Ovis aries: one gene and its partners. The protein of the gene in region 2 purifies or fractionates together with the protein of the main gene of each other region. This does not show direct contact. Links are inferred from orthologs where the notes say so. Each region holds a gene or a part of one and is shown on either strand. Other genes may lie near its edges. The genes, in order: YBX1, LRRC59 and STAU1.

Evidence for each region.
Region 1: the proteins of LRRC59 (region 2) and YBX1 purify together in Homo sapiens (co-immunoprecipitation; 3 studies listed by BioGRID and IntAct, with this or other methods). This does not show direct contact. The link is inferred for Ovis aries from reciprocal best matches to the Homo sapiens genes LRRC59 and YBX1.
Region 3: the proteins of LRRC59 (region 2) and STAU1 purify together in Homo sapiens (affinity purification with mass spectrometry; 3 studies listed by BioGRID). This does not show direct contact. The link is inferred for Ovis aries from reciprocal best matches to the Homo sapiens genes LRRC59 and STAU1.

What each region holds. Positions count from the first base shown.
Region 1 is NC_056054.1:17,197,704-17,201,355, reverse strand, and holds part of YBX1 (Y-box-binding protein 1), read right to left. Parts: intron 3,610-3,652; coding exon 3,520-3,609; intron 3,223-3,519; coding exon 2,920-3,222; intron 2,807-2,919; coding exon 2,724-2,806; intron 1-2,723. UniProt on the Homo sapiens protein: DNA- and RNA-binding protein involved in various processes, such as translational repression, RNA stabilization, mRNA splicing, DNA repair and transcription regulation.
Region 2 is NC_056064.1:36,027,979-36,031,408, forward strand, and holds the end of LRRC59 (leucine-rich repeat-containing protein 59), read left to right. Parts: intron 1-949; coding exon 950-1,194; 3' UTR 1,195-2,879; downstream 2,880-3,430. Other genes in the region: crossover junction endonuclease EME1, read right to left, coding at 3,147-3,323.
Region 3 is NC_056066.1:77,263,137-77,266,788, reverse strand, and holds part of STAU1 (double-stranded RNA-binding protein Staufen homolog 1), read left to right. Parts: intron 1-115; coding exon 116-254; intron 255-1,478; coding exon 1,479-1,644; intron 1,645-3,652. UniProt on the Homo sapiens protein: Binds double-stranded RNA (regardless of the sequence) and tubulin.

The DNA of each region.
Region 1 (3,652 bases), on a different chromosome or scaffold from region 2:
ATCAAAGTACACAGCAACCATTAGTTTGGGAAAGGCAGATCAAAACCACTTCATACACACCAGGAGAGCTGAAAACAATCACACTGGGGAGGGGGTGGAAAAACCCCTCAATGCATTGCTGGCTGGTCTGGCTATATAGAATGGTGCAGCAGCTTTGTAGAACAGCTTGGAGACTAAATGACCTAGCAGTTCTACTTCTAGATCTGTATCCAAAACAATATCCACCACGCATTATTTTAACATTCACAACAAGATGTGAAAATAACCCAAATGCCCATCAACCAAGTTAACGAAGAACAAAATGTAATATCCATACAACGGAACCTGATTTGGTCATAAAAAGAAATCAAGTACTAATGATAAAGGCATGAATGACAAATACACGAGGTGAAAGCCAGACACAAACTAGGCAAATACAGAGACAAGGAAAGCAGCAGCCAGGGGCTGGTGTGAATATACTAAAATCCACTGAGTCTCACACTTTAAACACCAGGATTACCAGCATGCCTTTACACCTGTGTAGGTCATTCCAGCTCTAACTATTTACGATTCCATTTCTCACCGCTAACCCCTCTAGTCTTCCACCTACCCCTCCCAACTTCCCCCGCCCCCCACAGCCCCCACCACCTCTTCTCCTGAAACGGTTTTCCCATGTGTCTGGGAACTCCTGACCAGTCTTCGGCAAAACTGCCCTGGCCCTCCCCTGTAGCCTTTTGAATTCTAAAATCCCACCTTTCAAATCTTAACGTCATGTTCCATTTTACTGCCCTTTTCCTACTGTAATTATCACGACAGTTCCACATAACATGGGCTTTTAGATTCTTTCAGTTCAGTTCAGTCGTTCAGTCGTGTCCAGCTCTCTGCGATCCCATGAATCGCAGCACGCCAGGCCTCCCTGTCCATCACCATCTCCCGGAGTTCACTCAGACTCACATCCATCGAGTTGGTGATGCCATCCAGCCATCTCATCCTCCGTTGTCCCCTTCTCCTCCTGCCCCCAGTCCCTCCCAGCATCAGGGTCTTTTCCAACTTGTCAGCTCTTCGCACGAGGCGGCCACTTTGCCTCCCATGCAACTCCTGTTTGCTACTTAGCTTCTCTCAGTTTCAAGCACTCCACTCTCTAGTCACCCTTTACTTCTTTTCCTGGTGTATTCCAGGAGTCTTCTTCTCCCACTCTTATTTCCACTAGGACCTATAATCCAACAATCCTATCGATCATTCTGTCCCTTAACTCTGCCTTAATCCTCTTCTCTCATTTCTCTCGGAAGTGCAAGGTCTACCACTAATGACTATCATCAAACCCAAACCCAGGATCTTTGAGTAGACAAATGCTGAACAAATCTAACTCTGCTTAATCTGAGGCTGCTGCTCAAAATGGCTGGAAAAGCACAAGCATGTTTGGTGGACCCACTTTAAATTTGTGATCACTGTTACTTGACTTCCGCTATTTCTCTTCTACAGATAATTTCACATATTTGTCCCAAACCTCTCACCCCTTTCCTTTTGACTTCACCAACACACTGGTGCCCATAAACTCTGGCTTTTTACACATGCAACATCCACGGTTCCCAGCAAAAGACATCCCATTGCATGGACCAAACCCAATCCTAACTGAAGATAGCTGCAGCAGATAATTCTGACAAGTACCCTTTTTTAAAAATTGCATTTTTCAGCCTACAAATAAGCTCTTATTTCTCAAACAAAAAAAATCCTTTCTTAATGATTCCTTTCCCTTTACTGCCACCTCATCTATCTTCCTTTCAGCAAAACTCCTGCTATACTGATCTCAGATTTCTCACAATCTGCTCTTGGATCTGCATCAATCATTTCACCCCCTGGATTATAAGTAGCATGTGTCATTTACTATTCAAACAAAAAATTCCTGACTAAATAGTTTGGAAAGCCCTGCATTCATCGATAGATTATAATAAATATATTCAAATGAGACCATTAAATAAAACTGAAGCACTCAACAAAAATTCATGTGCTGTTTTTAAACACACCAATGAAAATAGGTAGAAAATTGGCAAAGTTCTACAACGTAACAAGAAGTAGACCAAGGATACTGCCCTCGGGATTTAAAGGGACAGAGTATGAAAGCCTATTTTAGACCGTTTATCACTATCACAGATAAACACTTATCACTATTTAAGAGCTGACATTGTGATTGTTTGCAGTATTTCAACAAGGTATCTGTGTCTAGGTTTAGACAGATGCTACCTGTTAGTTTTAGGGATCACATCTGGAGACTCAATATTCTAAGACCTTTTACTACATATATGCATTAAACCTATCTGGCCTGTGAAGCTCTACCCTAATTCCTCTAATAATTAAACACCTTCTGTTAAAAAGGTACGCTTACCTTTACTTTTCTCCCTCCCAATGAATCAGGTCTTAAAGTTATAATACAATGCAGTTTAAACTACCATTCTCTTACCTGTTAAAGGACAGAAATGGGAAATTCCATACCCTCATTAGAGTAAAACAAAAACAAAACCAACTGCAAAAAGTAGACCACATCTATAAAGCTGTTTTTAACCAGTGCCAGCAAAGATGCAAAGAACACATTCTCAAAGATAACTGACTTCAGGTTCACCTCTTAGGCATCTGATGAAAGAAAATGTGAAGTGTTAACAGACAAATGACTGAAAAAGCCTGCAGAAGCAGCATGCTGTTGCCGAGTCGTAGCACGCGCTCCAGTCAACTCTAAACGCAAGCCGCACCTGCGGAATCGTGGTCTGTAGCCCCGATACAGGTTCTGTCTCACTGGTCTGCCTTGTTCTCCGGCACCTTGGTTGTCAGCACCCTGAAAAGGCAATGGAGACCAAGCCAAATTTTACTCCATTTACATTAGCGCAAACCCCAACCAGACAAAAGTCTGAATACAGCAGCAGTTAGAAGGAAATAAAATCCGTTTACCTCCATCACTTCTCCCTGCACAGGAGGGTTGGAGTACTGTGGTCGACGCCCGTAGGGTCTCCGCATGTAGTAAGGTGGGAACCTCCGCCTGCGGTAGGGCCGGCGCTGTTGGGCCTGGCCTTCGGGAGCGCTCTCCGATCCCTCATTCTTTTCCCCACTCTCACTATTCTGGTAATTCTGCTGGTAATTGCGTGGAGGACCCCTGCGACGTGGATAGCGTCTATAATGGTTACGGTCTGCTGCGTATTTACTGCCTTGCACTGGAACTCCACCAGGGCCTGTAACATTCGCTGCCTCCGCACCCTACAAAAGCCATCATATAGTCATAGTGACAATGGAATTAAGGACACGCAGCAAAACGCACACAAAAAGTACAAAAGGGTCTCTGTGGCCAGGGGTGCAGAGAAATGATTTAACACTAGCTCCTCACTGTTCTGAAGAGGTAGCCCTCTATCTGCAGCCAGCACATTAGGGTTGGTGCACCTGTGTTCAAGTGGTCACCTGACCCATCCATCCACCTTAGAGCCACCATCCTAATGGATGAGATCTCCAAAATATTTCCATACTGAAGTCAAACCTTTACACAAAAAGCATCCTCACCTTTTCTCCTTCAACAACATCAAACTCCACAGTCTCTCCATCTCCTACACTGCGAAGGTACTTCCTGGGGTTATTCTTCTTTATGGCAGTCTAGTAATATCACATTCCAAAAATAGATTAACAGGGGAGAATA
Region 2 (3,430 bases):
TCCCGAACAGGGAGTTGCACTTTTTGTAAAGGTTAGATTCTAAAATCACCCAGAAAGGTGAAGATCACTTGTGGTCACATGACTGTTAGAAGATCCTCCCATCGTCCAGCAAGTGACTGGGCTCCTGAGTGTGTGGTGCTGTCTCAGTGGTGCCAGCGTGGTCTGTGATTTTCTTTCCGAGTTGGACCAGATCACTCTTTAGTGAACACAGAATTACGTGGCCTGCATTCAGGAAGCCATGTCACGTAAAAAACACATGAGCGTTTTGCCTGAGTATGCCCTGTTGGATTTGTGTAGCAATGTGGCTCCATGTGTAAGTGAGGACTATATCTTCTGGGCCAAAAGGGGCCCCTGAGGGGAAGGCACCTGAACAGGGAAGCTCTGGGGAGGGGAGGCCTGCGCCTGTCCCTGCTTACCCCGCACTGGCTATATTAATTGCAGAGAATTTCTGTATATATCAGAAAATGGCAATCACCTGTAATCCCAGTTCCAGTATTAATCACTTTGGCCAATATGTGTGTCAGGCTATTTTATATATTAGAAGTATTTATAAATTTTGAACCTGTTTCCCCAAATGGGCAGCACTCTATCCATGCTTGACACCTCCTGATAAAGCCCTGCCCTTGGCCCCAGGGGCCTGGATCATTGGCATGTTCTGGAGGAGAACTTAGGACCCTGGGGACTGTATGCTACATGAGACATCTGCATCAATGAATCCGCTTTCAATCTACTCCCTGAGATCCAAGGGACAAAGTTCATGTTTCAGTCTCTGCATAGCAAAGTTTTTAAGAGCTCAAGTCTCCTTGTAATTGTGCTCTCCTGAGGGCCTGGGGAGTTTTCATCAGAGTGGAGGGGTGTGAGTGGATGTGCACGGAGGTGGCTAGCACTGACTAGAGCGCGCCTCTCCCTAACTGCCTGAACTCTGTCTACTGTGACTCTGCCCCTCCAGAATCTAAGTCCGGCTCTCGCCCCCGTAAGCCACCACCCCGGAAACACACTCGATCCTGGGCTGTGCTGAAGCTGCTGCTGCTGCTGCTGCTGTGTGTGGCTGGCGGGCTGGTTGCTTGTCGGGTGACCGAGCTGCAGCAGCAGCCCCTCTGCACCAGTGTGAACACCATCTACGACAATGCCGTCCGGGGCCTGCGCAGCCATGACATCCTCCAGTGGGTCCTGCAGACCGACTCTCAACAGTGAGCTTGTCCTCAACATCTGCTGCCTCCCAGCCTTGGAGCTTGGATTCCTATGGAATTGGGTTCTGCTGGACACAACCTCTTTTTAGTGTCAGACCTACCTGCCATCATCAAATGGCTGCCATTTGGTACCTGAGACCTCCTCTTTGTAACACTTCTTTGTTCCTCAGTCAGGGTTCCCTGGTGGAATAAGGAGAAATAGGAGGTGTGGACAGTTACCTGCATGCTTAAAAGAATAGGCTTGGGTTAGGGAGAGAGCCTTTTCTAGTTGTTATACAAAGCTGTGTAAAGGCAAGACGCATTTCTACTAAAGGTCAGCTGTCACTACATTTATACTTTTGTATGTCACAGACCCTTTCTTTCATTCCTCCCTGGGGAGCCAGGGCAGGTCAGGAGGCAGTGTGTTATTGGGGACTAGGGGAACACCATACTTGGCAAATCTCATCTAAATTGCGGGGGAGGGGCATACCTACTTTTTAAGGATCTCAGACATTCAGATATTTTAACAGCCATACAAAATCTTGGGCTGTGACAGGACTTCCAGATTATCCAGTCCAATGTAACACTTGTAGACAGGGAGACTGAGGCTTTCCATGACTTGCCTATGGTCTTCCAGCTAGTCTGTGGGCAGAACTGGATTCCCACCCTGGTATCTTTTTTTCCCCATCATTTTACCTTCTTTATAATGTCCTGAGTAAACAAAACTTACACAAGAATTGGGTGTCTCTTGGCTGGAGTGTAGAATCTCTCATGGGAAACAGACTTATGACCTATAAATAGAAATCTCATAGCCATAAGGGTCTTGGGCAGCTCCTGCAGTCCTGCCACAACTTATGTGGCTTCTATAAAATGGGCACAGTCCAGGCTCCTGGCATCAGTTTGAGAGCATTAATCACTTGATTGCCAATAAACAAGAAGCTGGATCCTTGCAAAGCCACATTGTCTGTGACAGCCCTATTACATAATTGGTGTGACTCAATACCACATAGGCAACCTGAAAACTAAGCTTCATAGGAGACTTGATGTTTAGCATTGATCCTAGACATCATGGAGTTTAAAAGTGGCACATTAACCACTAGCATGAGCAAGGCAGCACTGTCCACTCCCTTTATCTGCCAGAGTAAGCATTTTCTTGCTCTGTGGCCTCCTTCACCTCTTTTCACTACATCAGAAATGGCCGTCATGGTGCTCATTCACAGAATACTCGTGATTGAAAGCTCCCTGCCTTTCCCCAGGGAGATTGAGAACCTGGCATGTTCAGAGACAGCGGGGTCCAGCTTGTCAGCACTAGTGGCCCATGGATAGCACTGACGCTTGTGACTGTCCCAATAATGGAAGAAAAGACGTATTCTTTTCTCCCTCAGGGAGAACTGCTGCGTAGGCCCACAGCTTACCCAGAATCACTATACATTCCTTTATTTTTCCTCTAAGCTCCAGAGCCAGTGGTACAAATGCTTTATTAAAATTAAACACAGGACATAAGATGAGATTAAGAGAATACAGAAGTTGGCACAGTGACTGGATCCCCGTTCCTTGGCTGGGTGAGGGAGCTCCGGTGGGTCGGGGGAAGGCAAGAGCACGTCCAGCCTCGTCAGGCCACCAGCTGAGGGCAGTTCACTTGTGGCCTGGAGATTTGATGCTGGGGTACTTTTGGATTTCTACGATTATTAAATACATGTCTGAGTGGTCTGTCTTTGTTCCTTTGTATTTTTGAGGGCTGCCTGGGGTAAGGGCAGGGGCAGTTCATACATGGCAGTTGACTTGCTAGGAGAGGAAGGCATCTCGGCCTCCACCCCAGGTGGGCAGGTAGACACACTATCACAAATGGCAACACCAAGGAAAGCCTGCTGTGGGCAGGACCCAGGCTTGTGCTGCAGGAGGTGCTCCTCATTCCTACACTGTAGTCATGCTGCAACGGTGGAAACCAGCTTTTCATCCTTATCCTGAGGGCTGGCTTCAGTCTGCACTGTCTAAGGAGAGATCTGGCTGCAAAGCTGTCATCTGAAGGTAGATACGCCTGGACAGCTCTGGTCCAACACGGCGCGAGGTGGCTGTCACGCCTTCCCCACGGCGCACCTTTAAGTCTGCGAGCAAATTCTGGCGTTCTTGCTCAGAAAAACACCGCTTATAAGCCTGAAAGTAGTAAATGAGCTGTTAATACCACACCACCCACAGCCATTCTTCATCTACGAACAGAGGATAGGAAGCTTGTGTTGGAGGATGAGAATCTGTCCTCCCTC
Region 3 (3,652 bases), on a different chromosome or scaffold from region 2:
GTTCATGAAATGCATCATGAATCCATTAGTAGAAAGCATGCTATTCTTTTTGATTTTAGTGAGTGTCATTCTCATTTCAGGAAGAAAAGTTCTTTGTTTTGATTCTGTGTTGCAGAAAGCATAACCCCTACTGTAGAGCTAAATGCGCTGTGCATGAAACTTGGGAAGAAACCGATGTATAAGCCTGTCGACCCTTACTCTCGGGTGCAGTCCACCTATACCTACAACATGAGAGGAGGTGCTTATCCCCCAAGGTACGTGTCTGTTTTGTTTTAAATCCAGGTGAAAGTATAGTTGCTCTTTCATGTGGAATAGTAAGGTGTATAGATTGTAGAATGCATAATGGTCTGGTCCTCTTCTGCCTGCCAAAGGCCTCCGCCAGTCTGAATTGTCCTGGTGTCACTGGAACTGCATTTTGATGCTCTTCGAACTCCTGTCATTGGAAAGGTCTTGGGCGCATTCCTCACAAGCAGTACAGCTCGAGCCCCAAGCAATCTGGTTAAAGACCACCCATGTAACTGCTTTGTGCAACTGAGTCATATTTGAACATGATTCTTGCGACACCACAGTTCTCAGCCCTCAGATTTATTGATTATTGTTTACTGGGTACTTTCTGACTTTTGAACTTACTTATGTGCTTTGTAAATAGCCTTGGTATACAGGTGCAGAGCAATATTAGTTGAAATCTGAAAGTGCCATGCATTTAAAACCTTCTGCTTGAGGTCTTAAGACACTAGTGGAGAGATTGATGATCAAACTGGAGGTCTTCATTTCCCTGCCCTACTTTGGGGTGGTAGTCAGGTGGAGGCCAAAGCCATTTTAAAAATAGAAACCAGCCTCTGCCAGGCTCTAGGCTGTTGGGATTTCTAGAAATGTGGGTCCAGTCAATTAGTTTAAATATAAATGGATCCAGTCGTCTAATTGAAAGACACAAGAGTGGACAACTGAATTTAAAGAAACAAAAGACCCAGCTATATGCAGTCTATAAGAGACTCTGCAGTTTCAGGAGCACACAAACTTTATTCCATACAAATGGAAACTGAAAGAAAGAAGAAATAGCTATATTTATATCAGACAAAATAAAGACTAAAAGACTGGTTTAAAAAGTCCCATTCTTTTCTGGAGACATGAAAGTGTGCATTCCAGGTATGAGAAAGTAGAGCAAGTTAAATTTTCTTTCTTAACCAAAGTCTAATCCATTTTAGATTTTGTAAGTATGGGTTAGCTTTATACATTGAACCCATGTAATTTGTAAGCCAATTTATTTTGTGAAATGTAAACAGTGTTTGCTCATACTGTGTGGCAATTCTAATCGAGCATAAACACATGAAATCTCTGGATGTGCTGATGAGGACTCATTATTGGTGAGCAAACACTGCTGTAATTAGGACCTGTGATGAAGGAAATACCTGGAATTTGTCAGAGATGGTATGGTGACTTATCTGAGACTAATTTTCCTCATCCCCTTCTATTTTTAGGTACTTTTACCCATTTCCAGTCCCACCTTTAGTTTATCAAGTTGAACTTTCTGTGGGAGGACAGCAATTTAATGGGAAGGGAAAGACGAGACAGGCTGCCAAACACGATGCTGCTGCGAAAGCCCTGAGGATCCTGCAGAGCGAGCCGCCCCCCGAGAGGCTGGAGGTGAGGCGAAGGCTGATCCGGGGCCCCTGGAGCTTGGGGTGGAGCGGGAGGGTGGTAGGAAGACATCGTTTCAGGTTGGTTTTTCTAAGAGGATGCATGAGAGCTGTGCTTAATGTTTATTGTTAGATAGCATACAAGCTCTGGTACCCTGAGGGTTTCTTGCCTTTCTTGCCCCTCCACCCACCTGGGAAATTTTAGCAGGAAAGTCAGGTGCCTTCTTGTGCACTCAGTGGCGTGGTTCTGAACATGTTAGAAGGATTGTGACTCACCTGAGTGGTGAAGAGCATGCGATGAACTCTTCGATGCTGAACATTATTCTTGTCATAATCTGTGTTTTATGGTACCAGGTTAGGGGATTTTCTGAAGCCATTTTGACCAGATGTTTTCTTTATTATCTTGAAATGCCTGTTAACCATTTGTGCTTAACGAACTGTCCCAAGACTTCGTGGCTTAAATACCTCCAGGCCTTTATCCTGCTCTCAAGCCTGTGGTCCAGGGAGAGCGTGGCATGGAGACCTCATCTCTGCCACGCAACGATGCGGCGCCGCGGTGCTGGAGGGTCTCTTCCAAGGCGGTGCTCTCGCTGGTTGGCTGTGTGTCGTCTGCGATCAAGGAGGGGGCATTGGTCCTGCAACCTTGGTTCCCGTCCTCTGTGGCCTGAGCAGAGACTCTCTATACACTCTCATGGTGTGGTGGCTCAGTCCCAGGAGGGCACATTCTGGGAGACAGGAGTTGGAAGCTGCCACCAGTGTCTCAGGGCCCTGGCCTAGAATTCAGCCCAGCACCACTTCTGCCGTATCCTGTAGGTCAAACAGGCGGGGAGCCCAGACTCAAGAAGGGGCTACAGGAGCTCACTTTTATTTATTGATTTAATTTTGTGTTGAGATAAAATTCACATAATTTCATAGTTTTAACTTTTGTAAGTATACAGGTCAGTGACCATTGGTACGTTCACAATGTTGAGAACCCCACCTGTGGATGAGAGGAGTATCAAAGAATTGGGGACTTATTTTATTTTATTTTTTTGGTTACAGCGTGCAGCTTGTGGGATTGTTCCCCAACCAGGGATCCAGCCTAGGCCCTGGGCAGTGAGACTCCGGAGCCCCGTCCACTGGACCCCCAGGGGACTCCCCTGGGGGCTGTGTTTCAAAATGATCATGATAGGTATAGGATGTTGTGACTAAATAGAAATATATGTTTTAGAACATCACTAAGTCATCACTAAAATGACTCCATGCTATTGTGTGGCCAAAGCATTAGTGGCTGGCTCTGATAAAGCAGTTGGATCACCAAAGGTCCAGGAGAGCCCACTGAGTAGAAAACGTTGTGATTTCATGGTTCTGTTTATCACAGCGTGAAATGCCTCCTGAACATATCCCTTGGAAGCATTTGACTTTTCTTGCTCAAGAAACAAGTTCTCAAACAATCAGAAGATCTTGCACAGAACGTTGGGCCAAATGCGTGATGATAGGTATGAAGCTGGGGGACCTTTCACAGGGTGCTTGCAGAGGTCTGTTGTGTCCACCTGTCCCCTAGGGTGACCCAGCTCAGGGCAGCACTCTGTGGCTTCATGGCTAGTTGCATGGGAAGGTTTTGTTTTCCTTTTGTTTTGGTGCATTTCCAGCTTGAGTGCAATCATACATTTTAGCAGAGATGTTCTATTTCCAGAGTTCACTGAGGACCAAATAGAAAGAAATGGACTATAACTTAGGAGGATTTACTGAAGTGAAAGGATGAGGTCCTTAGTGGTGAAATTTGTTAAAGTACTGAAGGTAGTGAAATCTGAGTCATTTTTGGAGGCATTGCATTTGTTGCGTTGACTTTGGTGCTAATCTAATTGGAATCAGATGGAGTAGGTATTTCTTGGTTCCTTCCAGCGAGCAGCTGTTAAATGATTACTGAACACTGGTATGTGGGCCGTCTGTTTCGGAATCACTTGAGAACTTAAAAAAATTCCTTGGCCTAACCCACACGATTCTAGATTCTAATGCAGTAGGCTAAGAGCCAT